Ovis aries: one gene and its partners. Each later gene encodes a partner of the first gene's protein in a complex. Links are inferred from orthologs where the notes say so. Each region holds a gene or a part of one and is shown on either strand. Other genes may lie near its edges.

The links.
Region 2: the proteins of EIF2B2 (region 1) and EIF2B5 are in contact, whole or in part, in a cryo-EM structure (PDB 6O81), measured with the Homo sapiens proteins. The link is inferred for Ovis aries from reciprocal best matches to the Homo sapiens genes EIF2B2 and EIF2B5. Residues at the interface, in NP_055054.1 of Homo sapiens: Ser12, Glu13, Glu16, Glu20, Lys23, Arg24, Asp283, Lys287, Phe288, Val289, Ala290, Pro291, Glu292, Glu293, Leu295, Pro296, Phe297, Thr298, Gly300, Asp301, Leu303, Glu304, Val306, Ser307, His309; in NP_003898.2 of Homo sapiens: Glu81, Thr84, Ala85, Thr115, Leu117, Lys186, Glu187, Ser188, Ser189, Ser191, His192, Pro193, Thr194, Leu245, Lys294, Glu295, Tyr296, Asp312, Arg315, Arg316, Trp317, Tyr319, Pro320, Ala325, Asn326, Asp329, Thr336, His337, His340, Asn341.
Region 3: EIF2B2 (region 1) and EIF2B3 share a complex: the UniProt entries of both Homo sapiens proteins name them as parts of the translation initiation factor 2B (eIF2B) complex. The link is inferred for Ovis aries from reciprocal best matches to the Homo sapiens genes EIF2B2 and EIF2B3.
Region 4: the proteins of EIF2B2 (region 1) and EIF2B1 are in contact, whole or in part, in a cryo-EM structure (PDB 7F64), measured with the Homo sapiens proteins. The link is inferred for Ovis aries from reciprocal best matches to the Homo sapiens genes EIF2B2 and EIF2B1. Residues at the interface, in NP_055054.1 of Homo sapiens: Glu107, Ser108, Leu109, His110, Leu112, Leu113, Thr114, Ser115, Asn242, Phe278, Asn280, Glu281, Glu282, Ser334, Tyr337, Arg338; in NP_001405.1 of Homo sapiens: Leu71, Arg74, Phe75, Leu78, Arg96, Leu99, Phe100, Arg103, Lys110, Thr117, Phe118, Lys120, Ser232, Phe235, Leu283, Asp287, Leu288, Val290, Thr292, Ser294, Ala295, Asp298, Glu299, Leu300, Lys302, Leu303.

Annotation. Positions count from the first base shown.
Region 1 is NC_056060.1:84,336,542-84,341,352, reverse strand, and holds the start of EIF2B2 (translation initiation factor eIF-2B subunit beta), read right to left. Parts: upstream 2,942-4,811; 5' UTR 2,894-2,941; coding exon 2,731-2,893; intron 2,627-2,730; coding exon 2,506-2,626; intron 2,346-2,505; coding exon 2,197-2,345; intron 1,284-2,196; coding exon 1,120-1,283; intron 503-1,119; coding exon 407-502; intron 1-406. UniProt on the Homo sapiens protein: Acts as a component of the translation initiation factor 2B (eIF2B) complex, which catalyzes the exchange of GDP for GTP on eukaryotic initiation factor 2 (eIF2) gamma subunit.
Region 2 is NC_056054.1:203,792,814-203,796,755, forward strand, and holds part of EIF2B5 (translation initiation factor eIF-2B subunit epsilon), read right to left. Parts: intron 3,853-3,942; coding exon 3,667-3,852; intron 3,576-3,666; coding exon 3,398-3,575; intron 3,312-3,397; coding exon 3,231-3,311; intron 2,955-3,230; coding exon 2,877-2,954; intron 2,342-2,876; coding exon 2,029-2,341; intron 1,120-2,028; coding exon 974-1,119; intron 764-973; coding exon 622-763; intron 500-621; coding exon 398-499; intron 81-397; coding exon 1-80. UniProt on the Homo sapiens protein: Acts as a component of the translation initiation factor 2B (eIF2B) complex, which catalyzes the exchange of GDP for GTP on eukaryotic initiation factor 2 (eIF2) gamma subunit.
Region 3 is NC_056054.1:19,637,534-19,642,462, reverse strand, and holds the start of EIF2B3 (translation initiation factor eIF-2B subunit gamma), read left to right. Parts: upstream 1-1,816; 5' UTR 1,817-2,189; intron 2,190-4,691; 5' UTR 4,692-4,700; coding exon 4,701-4,848; intron 4,849-4,929. UniProt on the Homo sapiens protein: Acts as a component of the translation initiation factor 2B (eIF2B) complex, which catalyzes the exchange of GDP for GTP on the eukaryotic initiation factor 2 (eIF2) complex gamma subunit.
Region 4 is NC_056070.1:52,101,094-52,105,034, reverse strand, and holds the end of EIF2B1 (translation initiation factor eIF-2B subunit alpha), read right to left. Parts: intron 3,655-3,941; coding exon 3,490-3,654; 3' UTR 2,050-3,489; coding exon of another isoform or gene 1,873-2,049; 3' UTR 1,477-1,872; coding exon of another isoform or gene 1,181-1,476; 3' UTR 1,032-1,180; downstream 1-1,031. Other genes in the region: ATP-dependent RNA helicase DDX55, read left to right, coding at 343-511, 1,181-1,476, 1,873-2,049.

The DNA of each region.
Region 1 (4,811 bases):
CTGGTAGGCTGCAGTCCAGGGGGTCGCTAAGAGTCGGACAGGACTGAGCGACTTCACTTTCACTTTTCACTTTCATGCATTGGAGAAGGAAATGACAACCCATTCCAGTATTCTTGCCTGGAGAATCCCAGGGACAAGGAAGCCTGGTGGGCTGCTGTCTATGGGGTCACACAGAGTCGGACACGACTGAAGCAACTTAGCAGCAGTAGCACCCAAGGGAGGAATAAACAGGGGGGATCAATATTAATAGAATAAGAGATTTAAAAGGTCCATGTATGTGTTTTCAAAAGGTACTAGAAACTCTCCTCTCCTCTTATAGATATTGGGGCCAGGGAGGGGGGCAGATATTAATATTTTAACGTATAATCTTCATAAATTTGACATAATATAACCCAAATATACCCACCTTGTTGACTCTTGACATAACAGCAAAAATGGCAGCATCAGTCATGACCGTTGTCTCAATACCTGCTTTGGACAAATTGACTGCCATCTCATGACCCTGCATGTGGAGAGAAAGGCTGATGCTGAGAGGAAGAGTGGGGGAGAGAGAAAGAGCTTTCAAACATCACTGGATCTGGGGGACTGGGTGACACTGGCTGTATCCAACGTGCAACTTCCAACAGGCAACTAACTCATCTGGTAGGTGTTCTCTGGGAAGCGGCAGGAAGCCCAGGGGAAGCTAATTAATGTTTATTACTCCCCAACACTGCTGGGACAGGCACAGAACTGGAAATACAACTTGCTTGTGTAACTGGGCAGAGCACACAGGACAGCTCCTGGCTCATTATTTTACAACATCCTTGCATCCTTACATATTTCCTTTCTGGAGACCTATTATTTACCTGAAGACTGAGTGGGGTCAGACCAAGCATCGGTCATCCCCAAGGTCATTTACCCTATTCTGATTTCTGAAAGAACTAATATTTATCTTTTCTTGGGCCAAGTAGTTCACTCAACTTCCTTAAATGAATATTTTAAGAATGTTCACAGGATCAACAACGTGAAATTCTCTTAAATGTTTTACTCTATCTCCTCAATGTTTAAAATGCATCAATTCAAAGATGGCATTATTCTCTCATTTAAAAATTTTCTTAGCAGCTCTAGCAGTCCCCATACCTGACAGAAAGGTGCACACTCTGCAACGATGACATGGAATTTCCTCTTCCGGGCAGCCTCTTTGAGGAATGCCTCCACCGTGCGAGAGAAGCCGATGGTCATGATGACCTCATTGGAGTGGATGTGCTCCAGAGCCTGGGCTGCGATGTTCTCCGTTGTCCCTTCTGCAAGAAGCCAGTTTCGCATGGAAAATATGACACAGTCATGCTACAATACAGACTTGTGAGAGAACAGAAAGGGATGTGTGCCGTTTTGTACAATGCCCACCTAGCAGAGCCTGGTAACACATGGTCAATGGACTAAATGTGAAATGTCCTATTTCCTTAAAAGCCTCCTCCCTCCAGGGTTTTCTATCTCCCAAGCTCTCAGCCTACCCTCTTGCCCTACTCATCAACTTACTCCCTTCACCCCTACCCCGCCCAAAACTAGTTCTTTACAACTGACTTTGAAGACAGTGAATTTAGGCAAGAAATGCCCCATTTGGGAAATTTGAAAGTGCTGAGAGTAGGGTAAACAGAGTTTCCCTCTAAAAGAATTCCTCCTCCAAAAGGTGGCCACAACGCCTCCACGTGACAGGGAGGACACAGAAGAAAAACAGGGGAGGAATTTGGAAGAAGCAGCTCAGCACACAGACAAACCCAGTTTCTTCCTTTCCCGGAAACACTGATGGCAATAAATATCTGGCCTCCTAGGTCACAAAGATAGGGGGGATAGAAGTGGCTTGTGTGTATGCATATGGGTATCTATGTGTGTGTGTCTGTAAAATTTAAAGAAGTTTAGTGAAAAAGGGTTTATCAACTGTGGTTTTCAGAGGTTCATCTTAAAAATAAAAGCTCTTCCCAAACAGTCTCTGCCACAGTGGATTTGCAGTAGATAAGGGGTCAGTCTGTAAGGAAATGTAGAAAGGGTTATTTTAGTCTTGCCACCTATTCCAATCATTCTTAATCCGGATGAGGGCAAACCTCTGAGAACCAGAAGACTGGTTATCGTCCACCTCTGCTTATGAACAACTTCCAAGGTCTTCTGTTCCCTCATCTGCCTGCAACTTGTCCTGTCCACCTAAGGATCAGGACTCACCCAGTTCCACCAGCAGCTCATTAATTGCCTCAATGATGTTGGACTGGAGTTGAGCATAATGGGAACGGAAATCCTCGCTCAGGCCCCCGGATGTCAAGAGTTTGTGCAGAGACTCCTGCTGATCGCTCTCGTCGCTGCGTCCATGGAGTCTACGAAGGCAACAAGACCCAAAGGAGTTGGAGGAAGAGATGTGGTCGTTTAAGTAACGACAGCTGCTCAGCTCCAACAAAGGCTCCAAGCAGGGAGAGAGAGGGGCCCGTGCAAAACGCTTCACTGGGCCCAAGCCCCGGTCCAGGACGTGGGCCTGACCTGCCATACTCCTCCCGGATGATCCTGAGCACTCTCCGCACCATGTTGCCCACGGTGGTCTCTGAGGGTTGCGCGGCCGTCATCCTCCGGCCTTCTCTGCGGATCAGTTCCATCAGCTCCCCTACCGCCCAAAGAGAAAAGGTGAGCGCGAGAAGGGCGCAGCGTGGGGCCTGGGCGACTTTCCGCCCGGGGATCGGGATCAGAAAGGGGCGAGGCCTGCCTCACCTGCATTACTCCAGCGGTGGTCCGTGATGATGCGGCGAAGCAGCCCCAGAGTCTCCCGGGCCATGTCCTCGGAGCTGCGCTGCCCGCCGCCCCGCTTCAGCGCCTCCACGAAACTCTCGATCCTCTCGGACAGCTCCGAGCCCTTGGCGGCTGCCCCTGGCATCGCGAAAGAAGCCGCCTTGCCGGCGGAATCCACACCAGGCAGACTTCCGAGCTTACACTTCCGGGGCAGGAAAGGTCGGCTTCCGCTCTGCTAGGAAAAAAACTCTCGCTTGGGAGAAGACTGGGCCACGCCCCTCGCTGCTAACTCCCGCCCCCGCCCCTCCCCCTCACCTGACAGAGCCAATCAGACTCTTGGAACTCGATGTGTTGCGTTTACCGCCAAGCGTCCGCGCCTCAGAGGTTGGAAGGCTGCAAGTGTCTTTTCTCGGCTTCTCGATCGCTGAAGACCTGACGGTTGACGTCACAAGAGGATGGCTAGTCCTGTTACTGTGGAAACAGCCAGTGTGAAAGGCCCCCACCACTTCCCGAGGCTACGCTGGAGAAGTTGCAGCCCTACTTCGCCGTCCCTCAGCTCCGGTGACCATCAGAGTGCTGCCCCAGGGTCCGCTACCCCTAGGGCAGACGCCCCATCATAATGCTGTTACATTGCATGATACTGGTTCGTTTGCGCCTGTCTCTCTAGCAGACCGAGCTCCCTGATGCCAAGGACCATTTTTTTTTTCTTTTTAGAATAAGAGGACCTATCTCATAAAGATGCATTAGCTGAGACAATTCATACACAGTGTCTACACCTAGTAAACTCTAAACGGTCGTATTGTTTTACTCCCCAGCCTCTAGTCCATACAGATGGAAGGACATCATCTTTGCTCCCATATTAACTGCCACTTTGAATCTTCTTATTGGTGGATATTCGGTCTCCTCATCTCTGAGGAGATGTGCTAGACGTTGAAAAGTGAAGTGAAGCCGCTCAGTCATGTTCGACTCTTTGGGACCCCATGGACTGTAGCCTACCAAATTCCTCTGTCCATGGGATTTTCCCGGCAATAGTACTGGAGTGGATTGCCATTTCCTTCTCCAGTGGATCTTCCCAACCTAGGGATCGAACCCGGGTCTCCAGAGACCAATTGCCTTACAGAAAAATATATCAGTACCCAAATCAGACAAAGATAATATGAAAAAAAAAAAAAAGAAAATAAGAGACCAGTGTCCCTCATGAATGCAGATGCAAAGAGCTGCAACAAATTATTAGCAAACCAAATTCATCAGTATATAAAAGATTCATGTAAGAACTTCCCTGGTGGCCCAGTGCTTAGGAATCCACCACCCAATGAATGCAGAGGACACAGGTTCAATCCCTGGTCCAGGAGGATCCCGCATACTACAGAGCAACTAAGTGGTGTGCCGCAGCTACCAAAGCCTGCGCCCTCTAGGGCAGGAGAACCACAACTACTGAGCCCCTGTGCTGCAACTACTGAGGCCCATGTGCCGGAACCAGTGCATCACAAGTAACCCCTGCTCACCACGACTAGAGAAGGCCTGCATGAAGCAATGAAGACCCAGCACAGTCAAAAGTAAATAAGAAGATTAATGTATAATTACCAAGTATAATTTAAATCTGGAAGATAAAGCTGTTGCAATATTTGAAAATCAATTTGAGAAACTATGTTAATATTCTAGAAAGTAAAACCACATGACCATATCAACTGATGCAAGAAGCATTTGACAAAAATCAACAGACATTGAATTAAAAACAAAAAACCAAAAAACCTTAAAAAACTAGGAATAAAGAGGAACATCTTCAGCACCACAAGGGCCATCTACAAAATCCTGTACCCAACATCATACTTTATGGTCAAAGAAAATTTCTCTCTAAGATCAGAAACAAGGCAAGAATGTCCACTTTTACCATTCAAATTTAAACTCAAAGATCTAGCCAGTGCAATAAGGCAAGAAAAAGAAATTTTAAAAGCATACAGACTGGAAAGCAAGAAAACTAATAGAAGACATCATTGTCTTCATAGAAAATCCCAGAGAATCAACAATAAGAAAAAAACCTCCTAGAACTAATTTAGCAAAGA
Region 2 (3,942 bases), on another chromosome or scaffold:
TGCCCGGCTGCCTAGCTCTTCAGAATCCATACTTTGCTCACTTTCAGTTTCACTCTCTTCTTCCATGTTGATTCTGAGTCCTGAGAATCCAGAAGGGGTGAGAAAAAAGAAAACGGAAGAGCCACTGACAGCAATATATCTGCTCTGTCTGCATGAATAAATTAATGAACAAGCAGTCTGATTCTGATCCCCTGCTGAAGAAAATGGCAACTCACTCCAGTATTTTTGCCTGCAGAATCCTATGGATAGAGAAGCCTGGCAGGCTACAGTCCACTGGGCCATAACAGTCAGATATAACTTAGGGACTAAACCACTGCCAGTATGATTCTGAAGTGTTCAAACTCCCTCAAAATAACCTGATTTAGATGGTGGGTGGCAGGAATGAGGCCTAGCTTACCCCATAGATTCTGCCGTAGTTCCTCCTCTTCCTCCATGTTCATGTCTGCAGCTTTCCAGAGGTAGCCCTGGCCTGCAACTCCGACTTCTGCTGGATTGTAACCTGGAAAAGACACTGATCTTTAGCAAGGGCCCAGGAGAAGCACCAACCCCTTAGGAGGAAACACTGGTATTTCTATGGGGCAGAGAGACACACAGATGCCCCACACCTGCTGAGTTTCACACCTTTCAGCTTCACTTTCTCCTTTTCTTGGTCAGCCCCAGAATCATCACTGAACTGACCATCATCATCATCATCCTCTGCATCTGGAGGGTGCAAAGAGATCACCGAGCCCTCAGGCAGCATGATATCTGGGCCTACTACCACCTGGAGGAGAAAAAAGGAGTGGGTGGCATAAATCCATTAATGTGTGGGAAAAGTACTCCCTGCAAAGGAAAGTGACTTTACTAAGTCAAGTAGAAAGCAAATGAAAACACTGGATTGGGAATTTCAATTGAGGCTGGATTTGGTGGACATAAGGCACTTTCTGGCTCAGCATAACCACCACTCAGCTGTGCCATGTGGAGCAGGTCTTACCTGGGAAGTAAGGACACAGTGAGGCTTCAGTGTAACATTTTCCTTGACCTCAGCATTGTCACAGAGCAGAGACTGATGAATCTGTGCTCCAGCAGCAACTCGGACCCCCTGCCACAGGAAGGCCTGGTCCAGCACCACATTATCACCTGGCTCAGGACAGGAAAGACTCCTGGTCACCCATGGCTCCAATTCCAGACCAGGCCACTTTTCAGACCATTTGTGGAGAATGGGGCTGACTGACACCAGCAGAGCTCCCATCCAGCTCTACCACTCCATCCCCAAATTACCATAAATCCCCTCTTCCTCTCTAAGCTCAGGCCAGAGACCAGAACATTGCCCAGCCTGACTACCCTCCACCAGTTTTACAGCAATTTGACTATATACTGAACTTAAGAACCTGAGAACCTTTAAGATTTCTGGAGATCTCTTTCAAGAAACTTATTAGAATCACATTCCTGTCTAAAAGTAGAACCAAATTATTCTACCGCTTTTGTTTTGGTACATTTTAAAGTCAGAATCTTATTGTTCTCTTAATGGGGCAGTTTCATGAGAAGCATCACTTTCTTATAACCAAAGTGAGTTATTAAAGAGTATAAAGAACCCTAAACTTATAATCAGAATCAAGTACCTGCATTGCCTCTTATGAGCCATGACCTTGGAGGGACAACCACTTTTAGCCTTTTTGATTATCTATAAAACTTATCTATAAATAATACCTCACAAGGTTTTTATGAGGATTAAATGAAATAAAGTACACAGAACCCCTTTGTAAACTGCTATGTACTGAACAGGTGTTATTGCATGTTAATTATCCAGTTGGTCCTGAATGTGAATACAGGGTACCCTGGAATGCGAAGAGTCACCCAATAATAGGCTCACAGACCACAAATTTAAAGTATCACTGTTTTTACATCCCTGTTCCTTCCTTTATTAAGGCAGCCACTCTAGTTCCTTATTCTCAGGGACTATCCCTCTGTATCCTTTTCTGAACTCATGGGGTTCCCCCAAGTTCCTGCTCCTAGGATGGCCAGCTTGACCTCCCTACCTATACTCACCAATGTGACAGCCAGGGCCAATGACACTGTTAGTGATGGAGCAATTGCTGCCAATGACAGTGCCAGAACCTAAGAGCACGTTTTCCTCCAGGATGCTGCCATGGCCCAGGCTGACCTCAGGCCCTCGGTAGATGTTATGTCGGGAGTGAGTGCAGCTCTGGGTTGTGCTGTCAGTGAAGTTAGCCTCTGGGGTGAGAGGGTAGACCCATCGGCGGATGACATCTGCGCAGACAGCAGCATACATGTGTAGGTTGGAGACCCGGGCACCATATTCCTTAGTTGTCACATGCATGTGGATCTGGTTTCCTAAGATCTAAATGAGGAGAAAAAAAGGTCACCCAAGCAAGCAAGAGAGAAAGAACATCCCCCAGTATAATTCTCTTCTAACTTCCTTAAATTCCCTACTGCTTCTCAATGTCATAGCCAAGTGGCCTGAGACTTTTTTCTGTACTGCTCCCCCCTCACCTCCAGCTATTTTCCTTCCTCCTACAGCTCAATAAAATATAAGACGGGACCAAAAGTCTCCCCACCTACCCAAGGGAAAACAAAATTTCACATTACGTGTAATGGTGGATAGTCACGTTTTTAGCAATCGATTTGTTGATTTTGAGATTTTTTAACATGTCACGGGTGGTCAGATGGTATTGGGGATCTGACAAAAATGAAAAATGAATCTTCTGTGTGTCAGCAGGGTCTACTGTCCCTGAAGTTGGTTAAAATAAAAAAGCAAATGAAGAAAGAGAGGGAAAAAGGCGGGGTTGGAGGGGTAGGGGTGGGAAACCAAAAGTTATCAGCGTGAGATAATATTACAGCCCTCTTCTAAAGAGGCACTGGGAGCCTTTTATTACCTCCTCATTCACTAACAGGCCTCGCACAAAGTCATCTCGTGTTTGGTAGTCGAAGTTGTCTGTAAATAGTTGAGCCACCTGTGTGGAGAAGTCAGAGGGGGATGATGTTAAGTACTATTCTCTGGAAGCAAACATAGCCTCCCAGAGACATGTCAGACACTGTGACAGCAGGACATGGGCAAGAATCCCAAAAAAGTCAGCCAATGAACTACTGGGGTCAAGACGACAACACCTCCTTGCTATAGAACAGATAAGAGAGGGGGAGAAAAAATATACCTTGTCACTTAAGGGGGTGGTAATACACCCTCAGAGTTTTCCTCGGTGGATATGCAGCCTTTGACCTGAGGAGCTCACCTGAGGAGAGCAGATGCTGATGTGACAATCAAGTAAGTCATAACGAATCTCCACTCCATCTCCACTGCCCTGGAACAAGCTCTGTGGAGAAGTTACAAGGACTTAACTCATCTCTCCTGCGGAAGCCTGTCACCTTCCCACTTCAAGGACCCCAGATAAACACATACCAGAGGGAAAGAAAAACGTCGGAGGCCTTGGGTCTTCTGGAAATGGAGCACCTGATTTGTGGCACTATCCACGGCCACTACCACGTTGTCCTCATGACAACGAGTTGGGTGGCTGGGGGATGACTCCTTGAAGATCATCGTCATCACAGACACATTTTTTTCTAGCTTCCTCCTTAACCTATAAAGGACAGGAAGGAGATAGCTGTAAAAAAGCAGTCCTAGGGCTCTGTTGGTCCCAAACCCTACCTCTACTGTTTTCCCATCCTGACCTGTGTTCTTCCAGGGCTCTGGTAATATTGATGTTTGAGATGACATCCCCATACACCAGAAGGAAGTCAGAGCGCACCAAGGCTTTAGCATCAACATCACGGAGAACATCCCCCAGTGATCTATACAGCTCTGATGTAATTATTCGAACCACATTGAGGGATGTTGGGCGGCACCACTTGGATTTCCTAAGGGAAGGGAGGGGTGAGGGGAATGAGTAAACCAAACATAAAAATCATGCAGAGCTTCTCTATTCCCCCACCATTCAACATTCACAC
Region 3 (4,929 bases), on another chromosome or scaffold:
TCAGACACTGGTTGGCACATATTAGGGATACAATAAATATTGTTGAATGAAGTCAAATTCCTTTATTTTTACTGCAGAAGTTAGACTCCGCTTCCTAATTGGTAGGGAGCTAAGGTAACTAAAGTTTTAACAGATGGATAGAGGACTTCCCTGGTGGTCCACTGGTTAAGAATCCACCTGCCAATGCAGGGAACACGGGTTTGATCCCTGGCTGGGGAAGATGCCATGTGGCACTGAGCAGCTAAGCCTGTGTGCCACAACTGCTACAGCCCTCGTGCCTCAGAGCCTGTGCTCTGCAACAAGAGAAGCCACGGCACCGAGAAGCCTGTGCACGACAAGGAAGAGTAGCCCCACTCACCCAACCAGAGAAAGCCCTTGCACAGCAGCGGAGATCCAATGCAGCCAAAAATAAAACAGATACATATTTTTAAATTAAAGAAATATTATTAAAAAGAGATGGATAGAAAAAGAGGGAACCTTCCAAAAGAGAGAACGACCATTCAATGTTATTGAATTGTTATTCAATGTAGTTTATAGAATCCCCTGGTGGTCCAGTGGTTAGGACTCCATGCTTTCACTGCCAAGGCTTGGGTTCAATTTCTGGTTGAGGAACTAAGATTGCTTGAGCCCAGCAGCATGGCCCAAAAAACGGAAACCACACAACCCCTACCCCAAACCAGATAATGCAGCTTAACAATCTGCCTTAAAAATGTACTGCTTAAAACAAAACAAACAAAAAAGAATTATTTTATTGTTATCTCACAATTGTTGGAGTCTAGACTCAGATGTTTGGGTTTTCTCATCCGGAGGTTGCAGCTTCTTAACTGGTCTCTGGAAGCAGAGATTCTATTATCAAAACAGCAACCACAGTGATCCTCTAAAAGCGTGTTATTTCGCTGCTCCTCTGCACAAGTCAAGGTCCTCACAATGCCTACAAGACCCACAGGATCTGAATTCTCCACCTTCTCCCCCATTGCCTCTCCGGCTTACTCTGCCGTCATCCACCCTCCCCCAGTTCACTTTTCTTCAGCTCTATTGGCTTCTTTGTTGTTCTCCGAAGTTGCCTTCTCTCTCCAAGGCCTTTGCACTTGCTGGCTAGTCTTCTTGGAAGGCTCTTACCCAAGATATTCATTTGACTCACTCTCTCCAAGCCACTGTTCAGTATCACCATCACAGTGCTGCTAAGTCGCTTCAGTTGTGTCTGATTCTGGGCAACTTTATGCACTGTAGACCGCCAGGCTCCTCTGTCCATGGGGTTTTCCAGACAAGGATACTGGAGTGGTTTGCTATGCCTCCTCCAGGGGATTTTCCCCACCATTACAGTGAGATCTTCCTGAATCCCACACTCCCGACCAACTTTTGATGGCTAAAGGTGGATGTTTTCCATACCATAATAATCTGGTTCAGAAAGCCAACGTTGAGTGCCACATTAGACCTCACTGGACATAGAAAACCGTGGCAATCCTTGGTGATTTCTCCACTGGTCAGCCCTAGACCGCAGCTCCCAATGAGCTGTCCTTCCGCAGAGTGGTAGTAGGGACCAGGTCCTAGGAGAATTCTCCTAGAAGGAGAATTGCCTGAAGGAAGAGACTGTGACCAGTTACCCTGCAACCTGAGGGACGCTCAGTGGGCGTTGGTAATTTGTGAATGAATGAAAAGGCTCGGGCGGCCCCGCCTCCGCTACTCCTCCCCTCCTCCCCGCGGCATCCTTCTCGGCCGTCATCTATTATTCGGTGCTCATTTTCTTCTCTGAGGGCCTGCCCAGCGCGTCCCATCGATCTGCCCGGCCATCGTGCGCCTGCGTCTTTTGGCTGTCAGTCGGCGGCGGCGTGGGGAGCGCGGGGAGCGCTGGGAACCGTGGCGGCGCGCGGGGACCTGAGGTAAAGCTGAGGCTTCTGCGCTGCCAGGCCGCGCACGAGCTGGCTGGCGGGGGGGAGCCGCGCGGTGGAGGCCGCCGAACCTCACTTCACCGGAGGGAGGCGGGCTCCACAAGCCTGGTAGAGGAGGGCCCGAGGGGGTTGCAGGGGTGCAGAGCCCGAGTCGCCAGCTCCAGTGCCTCCCGGACCTGGCCGCGGAGCCAAGTGGCCGAACTAAAAGGAAGCTCGGGGAGCATCCGAGCCAGCCACCTTGTGCAAAAGTTGAGGAAATTGAGTTTCAGGGAGAGGAGGATCTGCTGGAAGTCACAGCGAGTGAGCACCGAACGCCCTGCGCACAGTTCTTGATCCTTTCCACTTAAAAGTCCTTCGTTCTTTTATTCTGTTTCTGATTATTTTAGGTGCAAGATACAAATACAAAGAGCAATACAATAAAGTCTGGCTGAGAGATCAGTTGTGATTCGGGGTTTTTGTCCATTTACAAAGGGAGAAGGCAGTGAGGGCTGTATCGGAGACAGGTTGAAGATGCCATGAACCACCTCTCTAAAGCCTGAGTGGCTAGAGAGTTTTTGCCTTGAGTCCCATCGCTCAGAGTCGTGGCAGTGGCATTGAGATATTTGTCAGGCTGCCTGCGATCAGTTATGTTCATGATTATCACCCAGAGCCTCACTGAGAGCAGGAACCTCAGATCCTAGTGACCTGGGTTCTCATGTCCCTTCTGCACATGTTTGAGCTTGATGCTTACTCTGGGTTGTTGTGAGGTTCACAGATGCTCATTCCACGAGTACTGACTGAGTGCCTGGCATCTGACAGGAATTATGTCAGGTACTAGGGATACAACGATGACAGTCAAGGAACTCACAGGAAATAGACATTTAAACAGGCAGATGGACTTCGCTGGCAGTACAGTGGTTGAGACTCCACACTTCCAATGCAGGGCGGTGGGTTCCATCCCCGGGGGTGGGTTGGGGGAGAGGGGAGTAAGATCGCACATGCCACACTTGTGGCAGCCAAGAAATAATAAAAATTAAAATAAATGGGCAGTGAATCCTGAAAGGTAGAGATAATCTGTATATAGTAGAATGGAAGCCTTTAAGGAGAAAAGAGTTACTTCTCTAAGAGGGTGGGAAGGGATAAGAATGTCTTTATACACAAGGTGATTCTTCAACTGAGTCTTTAAAGTTTAATTGGTGATTACATACTGGACACAGGAGAAAGGCAACTAAGAATAGTGATACAGGGGCCAGAATTATGCAACGGCATGGTTCAGCTGGCACAGAAAGTTTCCATGACCTGTCTATTACCAAAAACTTATATAATGCTTGTCATTGTTTTGTGTGCTTTACTTGGGTTAACTTATTTAACATTTATAACAACTCTGTGAAGTAGAAATTATCCCCCCCGCCTTAGAAAACTAAGAAAATGGAGGCTTGGGAAAGGTATGTAGCTTGCCTTGGATCATACAGCTAATTCATGGTAGAGCTAGAATTAAAATCCAGGCAGTCTGGTTAAAAGGCCTGTGAACTTAACCACCAGGCTCTTTTCTAGACACTGAGGATGCTGAGTTTTAAATGTCAGGCCCCTGGTTACCTCACCTGTAAGTGACAGAACCAGAACTCAAACTCAGGTCTTTTAACTCTTAAGGATCCAGTGTTAATACTTTTCATAGTAACATCAGATGTTATGAGATTTATATAATGGCAGATTGAAGTTAAATACCAATCTGAGGCAGTGCCTGCTGGAATTGAAAGTACCATATCTTTACTTTGTGGATGTTGTGTAAGAGCCTTTACTTTGTGCTGGGGTGTATGGGGTGTGTGTGTGTTGCAGTTTAGATACTAATGTGAGGAGCCCAGGACTGATCAAAATAATGATAAAGGAGCAACATTATTCACCAGTTTGGTGTTAAATACATTTTTGTTTCCGGAGCATTGAATTTCACTTTGTTTTTAAAAGGTTACATCATTTGTTGTAAGTCAAATAGTACTTTTATTTTAAATCAATAAGGATTTGTGAGCTTTTAATGTGCCTCTCTTCTGTTGTAGCAGCTGTAAAGAGATTTTTTTTGAATGTCAAATAATTTCATTTATCACCTTGAGTCTGAAAAAAAAAATTAACTTGGTTTGTTTCTGTAATTGGGCTCTGCAAACCTAGGTTAAGATACAAGCCTACATTTGAGTTTATAATGTTATATTTCAAGTTGGGGGTAATGAAAAAATGGGAGCAGGTGGCTGAATTAACAGAAGCATCTTAAGTCATTTCATACTTTTCAGAGATCTAATGTGCTTGTCTCTGTGCAGTTAATTCTAGTCAGAAGTTTAAAATTTTTTTCAGGGAATACAAACTCACATATCAGAAACCAACTTGATAAACTCTTACTCCTTTAAGAGTCAGCTCAAGCATTACTTTCCTATAAAACCTTCCCTGCCTTTTCTAGGAAGACTTAGGTGTTACTGTCACTGTATATGGCTACTGCACCTTAGATATATCCCTGTCATGGCATTAATGATGTTGTATTGTAATTTACTGCATTTGTCTTCACTTGATTGTCAACAACTCAAGAGCAAGAGCCAGATTTTTGTTTTATTCATTTCCCGCCTCTAGCCCAGGCTGGAAATCAGAGTATGTATCAGTAAGAGAATAGGATAAATGTGATGTTTATACTGTGGCTAAGTAGTCTTTCTTATTCTGGTTATTGGAGTTGGAAATGACATGTTTGTCATAAGTGAATATCAATAACCTAAATAAAAGTAAGATTAATACTGTGTGTGCATTGATTTTATTACATTTTTCTCTTGGTTTTCTCTGTGATTACAGTTTTTAAAAATGGAATTTCAAGCAGTTGTAATGGCAGTTGGAGGGGGATCGCGAATGACAGACCTGACTTCCAGTATTCCCAAACCTCTGCTTCCAGTCGGCAACAAACCTTTAATTTGGTACCCACTGAACCTGCTTGAGCGTGTTGGATTTGAAGGTGAGTTATGGCAATGAGATATACTCACAAAACTTTTAGGGTTCTTCATCCCAGTAATTTGTCAGCTTTATGAGGGTGAGA
Region 4 (3,941 bases), on another chromosome or scaffold:
GGAACCTGTCTGTAGCTTTATAAAAGGCTGTGGAGAGGCTCTGGGGTCCACTGCTGGCCCCAGCTGAGCGTCATTACTTGGGAGCACAGACCTATGTTACCATATTTTCCAACCAGAAATCAGGATTGTTATGTAAAATCTGATTTTAAACTTTGCTTTAGAAAATTTAAAATACTTTCTGGACCACGTCAAATACTTGGTTTGGATCTGGGCTTCAAAACCTCCACTGGATAAGATTAAAATGAGTGGTTTTGCCTTTGATTTTACTGGCACTGGCTCTGATGGGGTAGCCTTGGGCGGGAGGTGTTCCCAGCCAGAAGTGACGATGTGGTCCCTGTGCAGTGCCCCCTGCAGGAGATGAAACTCCAGAAGAACACAGCCGACCTCCTTCCAAAGCTCAAGGCCATGGCCCTGGCCGACAGAGCCGTGTTTGAGAAGGGCATGAAAGCTTTTGTGTCATACGTTCAGGCATACGCCAAGCATGAGTGCAACCTCATCTTCAGATTAAAGGGTAAGTTTGATTTGCTCACCATCTGAAACATTTGACGGTTTTTACAGGTATTACAAATATGAAGGGCTTTCCAGGTGGCGCTGGTGGTAAAGAACCTGCCTGCCAATGCTGGAGACATAAGAGACATGGGTTGGATCCCTGGGTTGGGAGCATCCCCTGGATGAGGAAATCACAACCTACTCCAGTATTCTTGCCTAGGGAATCACATGGACAGAGGAGCCTGGTAGGCTACAGTCCATAGAGTCACAGAGTTGGACACCACTTAGCAGCTGAGCACCTGTGTTGAGCACAAATATGAAACTGCTTTGTCTTAGGTCCATGTCAGGGTTAATGTTTTCCAAGCACTTAAAAGAAAGTCTTTCTGGGACTTGCCTTGCCTGGACTCTGAGCTTCCATTGCAGGGATTAAGGGTTCGATCCCTGGTCAGGGAACTAAGATCCTGCATGCTGTGTGGCATAGCCTCCCCAAAAATAAAAATAAGTCTTCCTTGGGTTTGACTAGGTACTGGCTGTGAGTATTCTTTTAGTAAAAATGTAATTATTTTAATTCTAATTAAAATGAGTCCATCAGATCACACAGAAAAAAATTACATTGCTGTGAATATTCTATTGGTTGATGCTTACAGTCCTGTTTTGGGTGTGCTAACTCTTGATGTTTTGGTTTAATCAGATCTTGATTTTGCTAGTCTTGCTCGAGGTTTTGCCCTGCTGAGGATGCCCAAAATGCCAGAGTTGAGAGGAAAGCAGTTTCCAGATTTCGTGCCTGTGGATGTCAACACAGATACCATCCCATTTAAAGACAAAATCAGAGAAAAGCAGAGGCAGAAGCAATTATTGGAGCAGCAGAGAAAAGAGAAAACAGAAAATGACGGCGGAAGAAAATTCATAAAAAATAAAGCTTGGTCAAAGCAGAAGGCCAAAAAGGAAAAGAAGAAAAAACTGAATGAAAAAAGGAGAAGGGAAGAGGTAAAGATGGCAATTTTTAAAATTAAATACTTAGAATTCTGAACAAATCTCACGGAAGTGTAGTATATTGTGCCTTTTAGTAGGAACTGCATAGGACTCCCAGATTTTCGTTCTCTCTTGGTGGCTTGGGTTGGGGAACATGCTGTTTGTGAAAGCTGATCTAAGAGCACGTAGTTCCCGACTGATTAAAAAGTGCTGGTTTGGGGCTTCTCTGGCGGTCCAGTGGTTAGGACTCTGCGCTTTCACGGCTGAGGCGCCCAGGTTCAGTCTCTGGTTGGGGAACTAGAATTCCACAAGCCTCCTACAGCGGCCAAAAAACCCCCCAAATTTTGCTGGTTTCACTTAGAACACTGTTGCTGAGAAATTCAGTAGCTTGTTGGTCTCTTGTGCACTCAGGGTTCTGATGTGGAGGATGAAGACATGGAGGAACTTCTGAATGACACAAGGCTCTTGAAAAAGTTAAAGAAAGGCAAAATTACTGAAGAGGAATTTGAGAAGGGGCTGTTGACAAGTGGCAAAAGGTCAACGAACAAAGCAGATTTGCAGATCTCAGATGTGGAAGATGATTGCTGATTCCCACCCCTCAGGTGAAACGCACAGGAGTGGGGAATGCGGGGAGCCGGCCCCCACTCGGCAGACAGCTCGAGCTTCCTTCTGTGGAACATCAGAACTTTCAGCAGCTGTCAGGGAGCTGCTGTTGCAGAAACGGCAGATGTGAGGGGTTTCGTGCTCGTGAGCATTTCACTAAAAACATACCAGCCTTGAAGTCTAAGAGAAGAAAACGTAAATTTACATAACTGTAAATAATAGATGTCAATATTTATTTTGATGGGTTACTTAAAGAGCTCATTTTATACTTATTAAAACTTATTTAATATAAAGCTACTGAAGTAGATTTGATTTAAGAGCTTTTAAAAGTTCCTCAGTGTTTCCCAGCTCCTTATCTCCTTTCCCTGGGTGTCTTTACCTCTGGACCCTCAGTTCTCTGTTTGATATATTGCACTGAACACCCACAAAGCCCGTAGTACCATTTTATTGGTGAGTATGTGAAAAAGCAGCAGCAAGTCATTCTGGGAAAGAAAATGATTACACCTCCTATTGAATAAACTGTAGTTCTAATTGACTGTGCCTTAAGTACGTGAAGGTGGCTGCCTAGTGTCTTTACCAAGATGGACGGTACATCTAGTGTCAGAGCCCTCTGGCTGGGCCGGGGTCAGCTTGAAGTGCAGTGCAACGCCATATCAAAATCTTCCATGTAATTTATTTGAAAAGATGCTGAGTTTGTTCCCAAGAACAATTTTAAAAAGCTGTTCAGGACCCAAATATGTTTCAAGTCACATCTTTTCCAGATATAGAATTTTAAGTTTGCAAATATTCTGGAAGGCGTCTTCATAACTGATGAGCCATGCAGGATACTCCGGCCAAAGAGGCCATTAATACCTGTTCTTGGGTTCTTGCAATAGTATCCACTCTCTTTGCCTTGATTCTTTTGTGGAGATGACAGCCCTCAGCTTGTCTTCACCGCTGGGAGCCTGAGTGTTGCCTGCCTTTTTCATCCAGCACTGCATGGAGCCTGGTCCTGGGCAGCTGCTGGTTACTGGAAGGGCACCTGGCTGTAGTTTGGACCGCTGCCCTCTCGGGCCTGCTTGTCTTTCATGGATGCTTTTGGCAAATCAGTCTAGAATGTGCGGAAGGTGAAGGGAGGGAGAGTGGGCACATCTTCATCCATCAGTCAAAGAGCCAATAATCTTATATTCCTGGAAACTGGACATGAATGAAAGTGTCTGGAAATATATGGAAACCATAAGAGCACAATTTAGGTTGGGCTTTAGAGGAACCATGAATGCATTTTAGATGGGACTGAAATGAATAAAAAATTTCCAAAGAGTTAGGATTTTAAGTCCTTAGTCCATAAAACTTCAGAAAAAACTATTCAGTTTTGGCCTGGCTCACTGAGGGGCCAAGAGACTACTCCCCATATCCGACGTCCAGCAGCAGGAAAGGACCCGGTGTTTACAGGTAGAGCTTGATGAGTTCGTCACTGACGGCCGAGGGCGTCAGCACCCCCAGGTCTGTAAACAGCAGCGTGATTAAGGAAGGGGAGGTGTAGTCGACCCACGGGTGCTCCTCTCTGAGGTCCTGTCCAGTCTGTACAGACTTCAGAGTATCCGCCTTGTACTGAGGAGACAGGAAGCCAACGTTAGTCTGCCCCACAGATTGAGGGCTCTGAACTGGTGAGGCCTTGGCCTGAGCAACTGAGGTGCTCCTGCCTGAAAGTGCCCGCTGGAAACGGGGAGGCCAACTGTGTTGCACACTGGCCAGGGGACTGAGTGTGGCTTGGGTCAGCCAGGTCATTAGAGAAAGCCTTAAGCCATGTGTCCCGTGAGTGTGCTGGAGTAACCCCTCCAGACCTCTGAAGACAACTGTTAGAGCATTTATAGAAAGCTAAATGCTAGGTGCTGTGC